Caenorhabditis elegans: one gene and its partner. The protein of the gene in region 2 purifies or fractionates together with the protein of the main gene of each other region. This does not show direct contact. Each region holds a gene or a part of one and is shown on either strand. Other genes may lie near its edges.

Region 1 (5,813 bases), on a different chromosome or scaffold from region 2:
TCTTCAACCATTTTGCTTTTCTCATCATTTCTTTTTCATCTTGATCCGCACAAATTTCATCATAACCTCTTAATCCTTTTCGACAAATGCTTCCTTTGAAAAACTTATTTCCTTTTGGTGTAGGAAGTATTGATTCATATTTTTGAATCTTCTTTGGCAAATCCTTCAAATGGTATTCTCGTGGTGAACCGGTCATTTGATTTGATGGATCAAATTGATAATGAGCGTGCTCGATTTTTTCTGCTCTCGACATTCCAGGCTTCCATCGATTGTATCTGAAATTGTAAAATTTGTGTCGAATTCTAGAAGTATTAGAAATTAATATAACATACTTGTCTTTGAATATCTGATTGAAACGCTCTTCAGACATATCATCATCTCCAGGCATTGACTCAAAGTCATTATTATCTACATTGTTGGTGAGATATGTAATTGGCAAAAACGATTTTGGCTTGTAGTTGTCATCATTTGGAACTTTGGGAATTTTGATGTCATTATGAAGTCTGAACAAAATATGTAATTGAAAAAAATAAACTTCTGGAAACTTACTCAAAATCCTTATCAACTTCAATTTCAGGGATTCCCTTTGGGTGCTCTCCCTCAAAATTAGCCCAATCATCCTGAGAAAGTTTGTCCATTCGAAATGAATCATCTTCGCTATCAGCTCGAGTTGATCCAGTTGGACGTTTTTTGTCACGCCTCTTCTTTTGTGCTCTTTCTCGACGAGCTCTCCTTCTTCGTTTGACCGCACCTAGAAAAACAAAAGAATATAAGTAAATATAAAATAGCAGTGCTTCAAAATTTTGAACCATTAAAAAGTTGCAATGGCTTAGGATTACTTAAAGTTTATGTTTTCAAAAAAAAAAAGTAAAAAAACAGAAAGCTCTCAAAAAGTTAGGATGGCCAAATCAGTGTTAAGTGTAATTTTGTGAAATCATTTGTTTAAAAAACTCACTCAGTTGTTTTGTCTGTTTCACACTGTCTCCAGCCTTTCTAGGTGTAATTGGCCCAATTGGATGCTTCTTGTGATAGGCATGAAAATCAAATTTCTTTTGAATTCGACTCCGAATTTTGTGCCATCTAATCGAATTTTCCGTATATGGACCATATTTTAGAAATCTATTGTGACGATCAACGTCTAGTATAACTTCTGAAAAAATATAAAAACTTTGAGATTCTTAAAAAAAAACATACGTCCATCGGATTCTCCTTGGTATTCAGCTTCAGCACAATGTCGACATGATACATCTCCTCTGCATCCATACTTTTTTGCAGTAAACTTCCAATTTAAGAATTTTTCTTTTAGTGGGGGCAAGAGCTGCCCACTAGTGGCACTTTTTTGTGGAACATTTTCTTTTGAAATTAACCGTTCATTTTCACAGTATTGGTAGACTGCCATTGTAGATAGAATTGGATTCGCAACGTTGACAACAAGTTTGTTACGTGGGCGACGATTTTGGGCTGGAATAAATTGCAGTTGAACTAGGAAAATTAAAAATAAATTATTTGGAAGTGCATACAACTAATAGTTGAAAAACCTATCATTTATTGAAATTTTCAATAATCAACATTTTCTTGGCAATTCGTAATGTTTTCAAAATTTTAAAAAATCGTGGTTTACTTACCTTGTAATTCAGGTGGTTGTTGATTTGTCTTCAGACCAATTGACTCAAGCATTTGCCGATCCTCATCAATTGTGACACAAAGGAATTTCGATGGGTATAATAATCGAACACCGTCAATATCAAGAAGAACCATTTTCGGCACATCATTATTCACACATTCTTCCTTCTCTCCAACATCTTCATCTGTCACTACATCCGAATCATAATCATCAGGATTTTTAACTTCTGTACGTTGCCTTTCAACCTCTTTTCGTCGTTCTTCTCTTAATTTCCTTCTTTGTTTCCTCACTTCTCTTGATTGTTCTCTTTTTTCTTTTTCTTCTGGTGTCTCTTCTTTTGATTTTTCTTGACGGTAATCAGGCTCGTACATCCATCGTAATCTCTGTGGAATATCGTCTTTTTTTGACTCATCAATTGCCTCAAAACTCTGTGATTGCTCTTCATCAGATGAATCTGCAAGTAACACTCGAGTTGTTTGTGGTGGAGCTGGTGGATCCGAATCTGGAGATTTTTGCCTTTCTTCTGACACATTTTCTGGTTCTTTTTCTTCCATTTGCAAATAATCTTTCCATTGATTCCATTCTTTTTCTGCTGATTCTTGAATTTTTGGGTCGGCAAGAAGAGCTATTTGGTCTTGAACAAGTTGACCGCGCATGGACCATGGACCTACTACAACCACAACACGTTTTGTTTTGCACTCCAAATGTCTGAAAATTAAATTTTAATTATTCAATAACTATGTTAAAAACTAAATTACCGTCTAGCCAAAGTTATCAAAGTTGGTTGCCTTTGTGCTTGAACAGAAGCACATATCGTGCTGGATCCATGAACAAAAAAGTTGAATCGAATTGCTGGAGAATGTGATGGATACGTAAAATGTAGATAATTTTCTCGTGCATCATATGGAACTGTAAACCATCTTCCAAATCGAACGAATCCGTCTTTTGTAAGATCTCTTTCCAAAACAACGTGCAAAGCTTTGAAGATAATTGTGCGTACTTCGTAGCTCACAATATTCATTTGATTTGCTGATGATAATTCATCGTCGTTATCTGAAAAATAAACAAGTTGAATGAATTAATAGAAAAAACAATAATTACCCAATCCTTCACAATTTTTCTGAAGCAATGCTGGCTCATCATCATACCAAAATACCCAGAGCTCTTTTGGAGCATCATTTGAAAAATTCGTCAGTTTTGGAGTTTCTTTGTTATCAGTTGGGGGTAATGGTTTACGTCTCCATGTGCAAAGAATTCCGTCCTAAAATTTGGATTTAATTAAATTTATGGCTTTCATAAAGTTCTTACCAATAAACATTTACTGTATGCTTTGAGTACAAAATCAGCAGTCAGTGCAACACCACGTGGAGCATTTGGTTTTGTGCGGTAACATTTCCATTTAATGCCTGGCAATTCAAGTAGTGCATAAACATTTGAGATACAGTCTTCTAAGCTGCCACCGTTGTTCCACTCTGGACGCTTCTGGAGCTTCATTTTGCGTGAGGCATCCTTGTCGCTATCCTACAAAATTTAGAAGGTGGATTAGTTTTTACTTTTAGTTAAACTTTCAAATCATAAAAATTTTTGGCAAATACCAAAAATGTATTTGGAGAATTATATTTCAAAAAAAAACAGCGCACCTTGGCGGAGGACATGTCCTCTGTGGAGTCACGGGCTGGTCCACTTCCAGCCAGTATCTTGGAAGCGTCCCTGTACAATTGTTGATTCTGTTGCGACGACACTTTAGCACAATGTTTCTGCAATCGGAACTAATTTGTCGAGCGATTTTGAACGGAGACGACAGGCGATAATAGACAGGCGGTAACAAATTAAACGGTTTTATCTCAATTCGAGTTAACAAAATGAAACAAGAATGGCCGAAATACATAGGAATCATAAAAACAATTGTGTTTTGTTGTCTACAATGCAATTGCCAAAACCAATCAATATTAATGTAGTGGTTAGAAACCTAGGTCCACATTTGGAAATATTCAAGTTGGTTTTGAAATGTTTAATAACATTATTAACGATTATTCTTTTGTGTAAAAAAAATTTGAAAAAAAGAAGTTAAACTTTGGAGTTGAAATTTGATACTGTCAATCGGCAAGTCACTCAGTATAGTTACACCTAAAACTTTTGAAAAATTGCAAGGACTTCGTTTTTTACAGAATTGATAACAATTTCAAGACATTTCACAAAAACTTTTGTAAACAAGATGTCCATATTATCAAACTTAGTTTACAATATAGATCAGAAAAAAAAAGAAAAGAGCATCTCAATTCATTTGGAAAAGTACCAATTAACTTACATAAACTTACATAAGTGAAAACGTTTAATCAACTTATTAGTATAAAAGATTTAGCTTTAAAAAATTCTAATTGAAACTACATTTAATAAAATAAGATATCATTGTAGGTATGCAGGTATTATATGTTCCCTAAATGAAAATAAACTGTCCCATGTAATCTTTGAATAGGATTGCGTACTGTGCAACACACTTGACGCGCATTTTTTGGAAGAGGGGTATTAAAGAAACGTTTTATGTTTTCCCCAGAAAAACTTCAGTGACAATCAATAAACTTTTAAAAATTACGAAAAAGACTGAAAACCGATCAACGAAAGACAGATAACACAGAGAAGAGGCAAGCCATGAGGACAACGTTATCTCTCAAATACGTAAACGAAAGATACACTCGCGCCTCACATTTGACAGATTACCTACACTTTTTTCTCTTTTTTTTGAAAAAAAAACAATCCGAAAAACTTTGAATTTAAAAGAAATAATAAGTGTCTTTCTAGGTGCTAATAAATATAAATTTCAAATTTTATGTTTGAAAAAAATTAACTATATCACGAAACGAAATAAAGAAGTTGTTACAAAATTCACCAATAAGTTCATTAAATCAAATATTTAAATTTAAAAAAATTAAAGATAATTTTTTAGTTGAAAATAAATTATTCGAAAAAACAGTAAAACTATGCTCATCAAATAGAGTCATTGGTCTCAATCTCTTGAACACCCAGACAGAGAAGAAAAAGGACGAAGAGACGACGGAAAGTGGCCCCCGTGTGTGTATGTCTTTTCCTTACTGCGTTTCCTTCTTTTCCCACTCCCTTCATCATGTCTCTCACCCCACCATTGCCCCGCCGCATTCGGAGGAGGCGGCGGCGCGGTCGTCACTCGATCAATCCCCTCTGCACACCTTTTCAAGAAATAAATGAAAAATTGAGAAAAACTAAATTAACAAAAAGTTTATAAGAAACAAAAAAGACCAGCATCACAAAACAATGACTTCAAAACAAATAAAAATAAGTTTCACTCTTTTTATTGAATTATCCTTGAAACATTTGACAAACGAAAATCAAGATTGAGAGATACATTGTGAAACAGATGGGATTGAAGAAACCTTTTGTTCATTCTCGATCAGATGAGCATCGTCTCAGCCATTTCTTTTCTGCAAAGAACCATGATCGATTTGACGGGTCCTCCATCCAATTGGGTCACCGAACCGTTCAGGGCCACTGTAGCACACTCGGTCTTCATGTTCACCTGTCCTACAAGACATATGCTCATTGGCAGAAAAAACAGTAGGTGCTCAACAACAGAAAGTGAAAAAACACACAACTATTCGAAAGTAATCACTTTCAAGCTTACTTCAGTTAAACATATGTTCACTTTATCATATACATACATTTTTTTGGTCAAAGCATCTTACATGGCTTATGATAGCAAAAGATTTTTACTTTTAACCAACGTAATTCTAGATTACTGTAATAGAAAAACAAAAATTTCCGCAGTGCTTTTATAGTTTACCTAGAAAAAATTTTCCATCGACTGGAACAATGGCAGGACAAATGTAGCTGAGATGAACTGGAACGTAGTCTTTGTCACGGTAGTCAATTGCCTGAAATTAGAAAGTTAGGAGAACAATCTGATTAATTAATTACTGTACTTGTGTGTAGGTCATCCATACATAATCATAACCAACTGTAGTAGGTGGCAAACTGATCAAAAGTTGGAGTGAGCCGACTGTTGCTCCCGTGAATTCTCGTTTAGCGCTGAAATAATTAAACATGCACGCATTCGAACAAATCAAAATAATCTTACTCTACAAAAGATGCTTCAATTCTTCCATTGCTTTGCCATGCCCTTCCCATAATTGGTTTCCCATGCCGATACCATAACGCA
Region 2 (8,920 bases):
AAAATGAATTTGATGCGAAAAATTTGAATTTTTGACAAAAAAAAATTTTTAGAAAAAAAAAATTTCTCGAAAATTTTTTTCAAATTCAAATTTATTTAAATCTAAACCGCAATTTTTTCCTGACTTCAAAAATATATTTTTCAAAAGATTTTACACGAAAAGAGCCGAGTTACAGGTGATTTTACGCGCACCAACGAGAGAGTGCGAGGGCGCAGAGAAAGCAGACACTCTGCCTGTCTTCGCCCTCCGCTCTCTCACCGGCGCTTGCAAAAATGGCTGTAACTCGGTGGGTTTTGAGTTTTGGGCTGTGAAAATTATATTTTTGGAATCAGGAGGAAATTTTGGATCAGAAAAGTGAAAAGTTTGAATTAAAAAACACTTTCAAAAAAATTTTTTTTTTTGAAATCGAAAAAAGTTTGTCGCAAGTTAAACAACAATACTGGAATAAACATTTTCTAACCGGAAAATCAACAATTTTCACAGAAAAAGTTCAAACAACACAACAAAATGCCCAGTCAACAAGCGAGAGGTGATAAGGACCTGACACTTGATATCTTCTCTGTTTCTCTGATTCTCTAGTGGTCTAATCAAAGAACAATAGTGGAAAAAGTGCAAAAAGTACAAAAAGTTTGAAGATTTGATGGAAAAATTTCCAAAAATTATACAAAACACACTTTTTTGAAAAATTTTCTCACAGAATTTATATTCATCAGAACCGCATTTTTCTCCTGAATTCAAAAATATACTTCTTAGGGGTCCTGTAGCGAAAACGTGCAAGTTACAGCGAGTTTTGTAGAGACCGGCAAGATAGGGTGGAGAGTGGAGAGCGCAGAGAAAGCAGATACCCTGCCTGTCTGCGATCTCTCCTCTCTCGCCGGCGCGCGTAAAAACCGCTGTAACTCGGTGGTTTTTGAGTTTTGAGAGTGAAAAGTTATATTTTTGGAATCAGGAGAAAATTTCGGTTTTAATGAATGTAATGTTTGAAAAACAAATTTTTTTTGAAAAGTATAAATTTCTGAAATTTGAAATATCCATTTTTAAATGGCAAAATCTTAACAACATTGTATATTTGATTTATTTGATTTGCTCAAGCCGTTCTGTCTGGACAAACATAACAGTTCGAAAATGGGAAATTTCACAGAAAAATGAGCAAAAACTACTGAAAAATATTAGGGAAATCCCGAAAAACGTGCTAAAAACGGAAAAATTTTCAAATAATTCCTCGAAAATGTGCGTTTGGAAACAGATGGTACGCATCACCCGGCTGGACATTGTTTCTCACTCTCTGCGTCTCTCTGTCTCTCTTTCAAAAGAACGAGAGAGTGTGATAATCTAGAAGAGACGCAGGGAAGAGGTCACACTATATTGTATATACACTCATTGAGAAAGAGAAGAAACAAACATCGGAGTGCAATGTTCCTCCTCCTCCTCCCCCCACCGCCTTCCCGCATGGGAGGGCGATGTAGGACACCAAACATCAGGAGGGGGTAGAGAAATTTAATGAGTCGGTCAGAAAAAAAATTGTGGGGGAACCGGGGTTCGAAACATGGAGTGCTGGGTGAAAGGCATCTGTGTTCCCAATTGAGCCACCGGTTCAGCCCCAGAAAAGTTTTGTTTTTGGGGTCCGGTCAATGCAGAATTTTACGCTCTTCATTGTTTCAGTTGACGATTTTTTCAAATCTTGAATCTTGGAGGAGATAGAGCCGATTTAAAATTTACAGAGACAAACGCCGTAGTTTATTCCGAGATTTTTTTGGAAATTTTTTATGCAATCACTAGAAAATAATACGCTGAATATTTCCGTAGTTGAAAATTTTTCAAAATCATTCATCAGTAAAAAGTTATAGACAAATTAAACTTTTTCGATTCAAATTTTCCCATTTCGCGGCGTTTTTCCCAATGGTGGCCTAGAAAACCCCGAGGGTCGAGTCGCTCCATTGCACTCGGCCACCACTATTTAATTAATTAATTTCGGGCTCTTTTTCGTCGTTTTCGCTCGATTTTCGTGATTTTTTCGTGATTTTTTCGTGATAAAATGTTGAAAAATACGGAGAAAATTGAATTTGCGATCTGAAAATACCCAAAATCAGGAGAAATTACCAAAATATTAAGTTTTTCTGGCGGAAATTCAATTTTTCTAAGTAAAAAATCTTTTTAAGCTTTCTCCATCTTTTTATAATATTTTTTAGACGACAAAAGTTGAAAAATTGCATTAATTTTATATTTTCAGGTGAAAAGCTAAACAAAATCCCCCAAAAACCAGGAAAATCGATGATCACAGCCAAACTGTCGATTTTCACCAATTTTTCCCGATTTTAAGCTAAAATGGGTAAGAAAAAGCTGAAAAAAACAACAAAAAAACGTTTAAAAATTCAGGCGCCGGCTTGGTTTCCGCATGCCTGCCGATTTCCTACGTCTTGCTGGTCCATTTGTTCGATAGAAATGGAACCGACCGAAATGACCCGGAAAGTGTGAAGAGGAGGTGCGGAATTGAAGAAAATAGTGCGGAAAAACGGAAAATTTGACGTGGAAAACCTAGGAATATCGGATTTTTTGAAAAAAAAAAAGATTTTTAAATTTTTTTTTTGAAAAAAAAAAAAAAATTTAATTCCAAAAAAAAATTATTTTTTTCAGATTCAAAGGAGCCCTGTTGAGCAATTTTGTCTCCATTGTGGTCACCGCATTCTACCTACGAGATGTATGATTTTTTGGCGAAAAAATTGGAATTTTGCCTCAAAAAGTGCAAAAACTATGAATTTCCTCAAATTTTTCCCCCGAAAAAGCGTAAAATTGTCAATTTTCCACTGAAAAAATCAATTTTCCCGCCAAAAACCGCCCAAATTTCGCCATTTTTCCAGTATACCGACTCTCCAATGCTAGAAATGGGAGTTCGATGGGATAACATAGGACAATCGATCACATATCCATTCATTTTAATGAATGCATTCTATTTAGGACAATTCGTTATGATGCAAATCGATCGGACACTTTGGCACTATTTTGGTACGGGAAAACGCGAGGAAAATCGTGCGAAAAATGAACAAAATCGATGAAAAATTAGATAAAAACGTTGAAAATTCGAAATTTTTGGTCATAAAATGGGAAAAACGTCAGAAATATAGCATTGTTCCGTTGAAAGTTAGTTAAAAATCAGAAAATAAGCTTAAAATCAGATTTTGGGGCCAAAAATCGTGAAAAAAAACACTGAAAATTTAATTTTCCGGCAAAAACTTTGAAAAAAATGCAAAAAATCGATGCTAATTAGTTTAAACAGTCGAAAATTTGTCTTAAAATTTGCAAAAAGCACGAAAACTCAAAAAAAATAGTCAAAAAAAAAGCTCAGAAAATGCAATTTTTCACTTGAAATCTAGAATTTTGCCTATTTCAACACAAAATTTCAAAAAAAAATTGAAAAAATCGATTTTTTTTTTCTTGAAAAATGCACAAAAATTTGATTTTTCAATTTAAAAATTATTAAAAATTCAGAAAAATGCACATTTTCGGACTTTTGCGCTTCAAATTGTTATACAAGTCTGAAAAATTGAGTTTTTCTGTTGAAAATGATTTTAAGTCAGAAAACTGTGAAAAAAACAGTTAAAAATCTGGATTTTCCGGCAAAAATAAAATCGAAAAAAAAGTGAAAAATCGATAAAATAATGAGCTTGAAAAGTCGAAAAATTGTCTTAAAATTGACAAAAGCACCAAAACTTAATTTTAGTCTGAGTTTTCTTGAAAATTCATAGAAAATAGTCAAAAAAAGCTCAAAAAATGCATTTTTTTAAAATAGAATTCCTTAAAAACTGATTCTAAAATGGAAATTCTTCAAAATCGGAAAATTCGATGAAAAATCAGCTAAAAAGTGCATTTTTTCGTTTGAAAAATACGCAAATCGGATTTTTCAGTTAAAAATTAAAAAAAAACGGAAAAATTGCTTTAAAAAAATCAATTTTCGCAGCTAAACCTTTGAAAAAAACAGTTTTTACACTAAAATCCACAAAAAATTGGCAAAATCCCAGAAAAATGCATTTTTGTGGTTTTCATATGAAAATTGTGAAAAAAAATGGGAAAATCGAGAAAAATTAGATAAAAGAGTAATTTTTTTTTGAAAAATGCACAAAAATTAGATTTTTCAACTGAAAAATTGCTAAAAACGTTTGAAATTTGGGTTTTTAGGCTCAAAATGTGAAAAATGGCTCAAAAAATCGAATTTTCGCAGCTAAAACTTAAAAAAAAACCGAATTTTAATGTAAAAAATCAGTTTTTGAACTAAAATTCCCGAGAAAATTGGCAAAAAATTCCAGATTGGTACGAGTGGAAGCTATGTTTCAATAGTTGGGTATGGCGACGGGATATTATTGTGGTAAGAGCATTAAAATGTTGAAAATCTGAAAATTGCAGTGGAAAACCTGGAAAAATGAGGATTTTAGACAGATTTACCTGGGAAAATTCGAAATTTCAGCGATTTTTCTTCAAAATTCACCAATTTTTTCACTGAAAAATTGCCATTTTTGGACTAAAAATTCCCCAAAAAAACTCAAAATTGATGAAAAATTAGTGAAATTTCCGATTTTTCGCAATAAAAATCCCTAAAAAATCATCAATTTCCTCCTCCATTTTCAGGGTCCAATAACCGAAGAAATCGTATTTCGAGCGTGCTCCTCAACTCTTATGGCGCACGTCTATGGTCCAACAATGACAATTTTATTAAATCCAATTCCATTTGCGGCTTCACATTTTCATCACATTTGGGATGATCAACGACGTGGATATTCTCTAGCACATTCTATACTTCAACGGGGTAAAAAATTGGCCGAAAATTGAAACAAAAAACACGAAAATTGCGAAAATTCGGCTGAAAATGGCTGAAAATTAGCCCTGAAACGCGAAAAACTGAAGAAAATCGGTTAAAAATGATCGAAAAATCATGAAAATTTCAAAAATTTGGCTAAAAATCTAGGAAATTGCCAACAAAACTAGAAAATAGCTGAAAATCCAGGAAATTCGTATAATCTTACCCGAAAACTTGAAAATTTCTTGAAATTTTATGGAAAAAGTAAAAAATATCGATTTTCCGACTCAAAATTCGAATTCCACGTGAAAAATCACCCCTATTTTGGATTTTGAGAATTTTTAGTGCAAAATCCCGTCAAATCCGATGCCGAGTACGCAAACACCACGCTACAGTAACCCAAAACACCGGATTTTACGGCATTTTGCACTGAATTCATGAAAATTGAGGATTTAGTGTGATTTGCTATTGGGAATTCAAAATTTTCACGTTTTGTAGCTAAAATTCCAGATTTCTGGCAAAATTTTTAGATTTTTGAAAAAATTGGTCCAAACTTGAAAAATTTTGAAAAATCTGTATTTTCAGAATTTTCGTGCAAAATGTCGTCAAATATGATGTCTTGGGTTACTGTAGCCTGTGTTTGCGTACCCGGCACTTGATTTGACGCAATTTTAGCAGTTTGCTGATTTGCCGGAAATTTTCAATTCCGGCAAATTGCAGATTTGCCGGAAATTTTCAATTCCGCCAATTTGCTGATTTGCCGGAAATTTTCAATTCCGCCAATTTGCTGATTTGCCGGAAATTTTCAATTCCGGCAATTTGCTGATTAGCCGATTTGCCGGAAATTTGAATTTCGGCAATTTTGCCAACTTGCCGGAAATTTTCAATTCCGCCAATTTGCCGGTTTGCCGAAAAATTTTCAATTCCGGTAATTGGCCTATTTGCCGGAATTTTCAATTGCTGTAATTTGCCGACTTGCCGCAAGTTTTTTTGTTCCGACAATTTGCCGCTTTGCCGGAAATGTTTAGTTCCTGCAATTTGCTGATTTGCCGTTAAAATTGCAAAAAAACCGAATTTAAATTCAAATTCCACAATTCACTGCAACTTTTCCCTCACGAGGGACGAGGAAAAGTGGTTTCTAGGCCATGGCCGAGGGGCCGACAAGTTTCAGCGGCCATTTATCTTGCTTTGTTTTCCGCCTGTTTTCTTTCGTTTTTCACTGATTTTTTTTCGTTTTTTCTTGATAAAACTGATAAATAAATATTTTTTGCAGATGCTAAAACAATTTCCGAGTAAAAAATTGTGAATTCAGTCGGCAAGTAGCGGTGAAAGTGGGCAATGTAAAATGATGGATTGCGGGAATACAAAACCTAAACTTTTTCTGAAACATGATACATATGCTGCTTAGATGTTGAAACTACCTGATTTTCATATCAAGACCGCTGAAAAAGTTTTGAGGTTTCCAAAATTCAACTTTTTGTGAAAATCTCGACTTTTTCACCAAAAAAGTTGAATTTTGAAAATCTCAAAATTTTTTCAGCGGTCTCGTTATGAAAATCAGGTAGTCTCAGCATTTAAGCAGCATATGTATCATGTTTCAGAAAAAGTTCAGGTTTTGTATTCCCGTAATCCATCATTTTACATTGACCACTTTCACCGCTGCTTGCCCACTGAATACATAATTTTTTTACTTGGAAATTGTTTTAGCATCTGCAAAAAATATTTATTTATCAGTTTTATTAAGAAAAAACGAAAAAAATCAGTGAAAAACGAAAGAAAACAGGCGGAAAATAAAGCAAGATAAATGGCCGATGAAACTTGTCGGCCCCTCGGCCATGGCCTAGAAACTATTTTTCCTCGTCCCTCGTGAGGAAAAAGTTGCAAAATTGCAATTTTCCAAATTTTAGTGCAAAATGTCGTCAAATCTGATGCCCTGGGTTACTGTAGCCCGGTGTTTGCGTACCCGGCTCCTGATTTGACGAATTTTTGCACGAAAATTCTGAAAAACGCCGTTTTTGTGTAATTTCATGCTGGAAATTCGAATATTCATTCAAAATTTTCCAAATTTTCACCAAAATTCATCAAAATCTCTTCAGGTTTCCAATTCTGCTACACATATCTGTTTGGAGCATTCGCCACGTGGCTCCAACTGACAACACGTCACGCAATTGTGCCAATAATCGCCCACGCATTTTGTAATGCTCAAGGTCTGCCGCTTTGGCTCGAAATTCGTAAGTTTTAAGCGAAAAAAGTGAAAAATTTGAGAAATTTTGGTTAAAAAGAGAAAATTTTTAGATTTTCGTTGAAAAAAGTGTGTAATAATTCAAAAATTTCAGTTTCTTGAATTTTTCAATTCCGGCAATTTGCCGATTTGCCAGGAATTTCCAATTCCGGTTGTTTGTCGGAATTTTCAATTCCGTCAATTTGCCGGTTTGCCGGAACTTTTCAATTCCGGCATTTTGCCAATTTGCCGGAAATTTCCAATTCCGGAAATTTGCCGGTTTGCCGGAAATTTTCAATTCCGTCAATTTGCCGGTTTGCCGGAACTTTTCAATTCCGGCAATTTGCCGATTTTCCAGGAATTTACAATTCCGGCAAATTGCTGACTTGCCGGAAATTTTCAATACTGGCAATTTGCCGGTTTGCCAGGAATTTTCAATTCCGGCAATTTTGCCAATTTGCCGGAACTTTTCAATACTGGCAATTTGCCGATTTGCCAGGAATTTTCAATTCCGGCATTTTGCCAATTTGCCGGAAATTTTCAATTCCGGCAATTTGCCGATTTGCCAGGAATTTCCAATTCCGGCAAATTGCTGACTTGCCGGAAATTTTCAATACTGGCAATTTGCCGATGTGCCAGGAATTTTCAATTCCGGCAAATGGGCAAACCGGCAAGTTGCCGGAACTGAAAATTTCCGGCACATTGCCGGAATTGACATCTTCTAAAAAATCTCGAAAAATTTGAATTTTCAAATTATTAATTTCAATTTTATTTGCGAAAATCTGGAAAAAACACATTTTTTCAGATTTTTTCAAAATTTCAAATTTTTTTTGTTCTAAAAATTTAATTTTCAACCAATTTTTTTCCAGCCAACTACCCGAAACGAAGAGATCGTCTGACGCTCTACGCTGCCTATTCTGTCGGTTTTGCCGCCTTCGTTCACCTATTATATACTCGAAATGGAATGCCAACTCCCTAAATTTTTTTGTTGGAAAATTGAGATTTTTCAATTTTTTTTCAGTCGAAATCCCCATATTTATTACGTTTTCGCCCTCTTTTTTGCCCAAAAAAATCCATGATTACCGAGTCAATTTCTTACATTTCATCCGATTTTTTCTCTATTTTTTCCCAACCCAAATCGATCTTTCAGCTTTGTAATTGTATTTTTTCTGCTTTTTTTTTTTATTTTTAATAATTTATAAAAATTATTTTCAGTATTTTAAGCCGAAAAGTTCGGAAAACCACATTAAAATTCGAATTCGCCATATCAAATAACCCCTACACCCGTGGTGTCAGAATGTCCCATTTCGTTGTGATCTACAAAAAATGCGGGAATTTAGACGCAGACTTCTCAACTGATTTTGCATGGTTAAAAACGTGCTGACGTCACATTTTTTGGGGAAATCATTCCCGCCGCGTTTTTCGTAGATCAAACCGTTGTGGACCAACCTGACACCCCGTGTAGGGGCGCCTAATTGTAAAGGAAAAAAATGAGACACGGTGTTTGCAGACGAGGCGCCTCGAGGCGACGCGCATCTGCGTACAAGGCATTTTAATTGACGCGCAAAACATTAAATATTGAGCGGCATCGATCAAACGGCGCTGTTAAAAGGTTTTTAGTATTTTATTCATTATTAATCAATAAAAAAACTATTTTTTATGATAGAAAAGTGTTAAAAATTGATTTAAAAATTGACAGATTCCAGACCTACCACAAACATTTCTTTTTGATCTACTCCTTTTTTTCGTCCCTCTCTCTCATTCTACGCGCCATTTTTTGCGCAAAGTGAGGAATTGTTTCGCATTTTTAGTCATTTTTTCCAAGGGGTGACTTGGAGTACGGCTGTTTTTTTTTCACAGCATATGCATTTTTCGAAAAGACGCAAGTTTTTCTGAGAAGCGAAAAGGTG

Evidence for each region.
Region 1: the proteins of fce-2 (region 2) and let-19 fractionate together in Caenorhabditis elegans (co-fractionation; one large-scale study listed by BioGRID). This does not show direct contact.

What each region holds. Positions count from the first base shown.
Region 1 is NC_003280.10:8,768,543-8,774,355, reverse strand, and holds the start of let-19 (Mediator of RNA polymerase II transcription subunit 13), read right to left. Parts: upstream 3,382-5,813; 5' UTR 3,280-3,381; coding exon 3,265-3,279; intron 3,146-3,264; coding exon 2,933-3,145; intron 2,886-2,932; coding exon 2,726-2,885; intron 2,678-2,725; coding exon 2,383-2,677; intron 2,333-2,382; coding exon 1,626-2,332; intron 1,462-1,625; coding exon 1,195-1,461; intron 1,151-1,194; coding exon 956-1,150; intron 752-955; coding exon 550-751; intron 504-549; coding exon 333-503; intron 276-332; coding exon 1-275. Other genes in the region: nsph-1.1 (Nematode Specific Peptide family), read right to left, coding at 5,049-5,179, 5,439-5,529, 5,578-5,683, 5,733-5,813.
Region 2 is NC_003283.11:20,423,071-20,431,990, forward strand, and holds fce-2 (CAAX prenyl protease 2), read left to right. Parts: upstream 1-2,230; 5' UTR 2,231-2,271; coding exon of another isoform or gene 2,272-2,319; 5' UTR 2,320-2,325; coding exon 2,326-2,329; intron 2,330-2,376; coding exon 2,377-2,482; intron 2,483-2,634; coding exon 2,635-2,698; intron 2,699-2,858; coding exon 2,859-3,003; intron 3,004-4,301; coding exon 4,302-4,360; intron 4,361-4,620; coding exon 4,621-4,798; intron 4,799-6,885; coding exon 6,886-7,020; intron 7,021-7,879; coding exon 7,880-7,989; 3' UTR 7,990-8,227; downstream 8,228-8,920. UniProt on the Caenorhabditis elegans protein: Protease involved in the processing of a variety of prenylated proteins containing the C-terminal CAAX motif, where C is a cysteine modified with an isoprenoid lipid, A is an aliphatic amino acid and X is any C-terminal amino acid.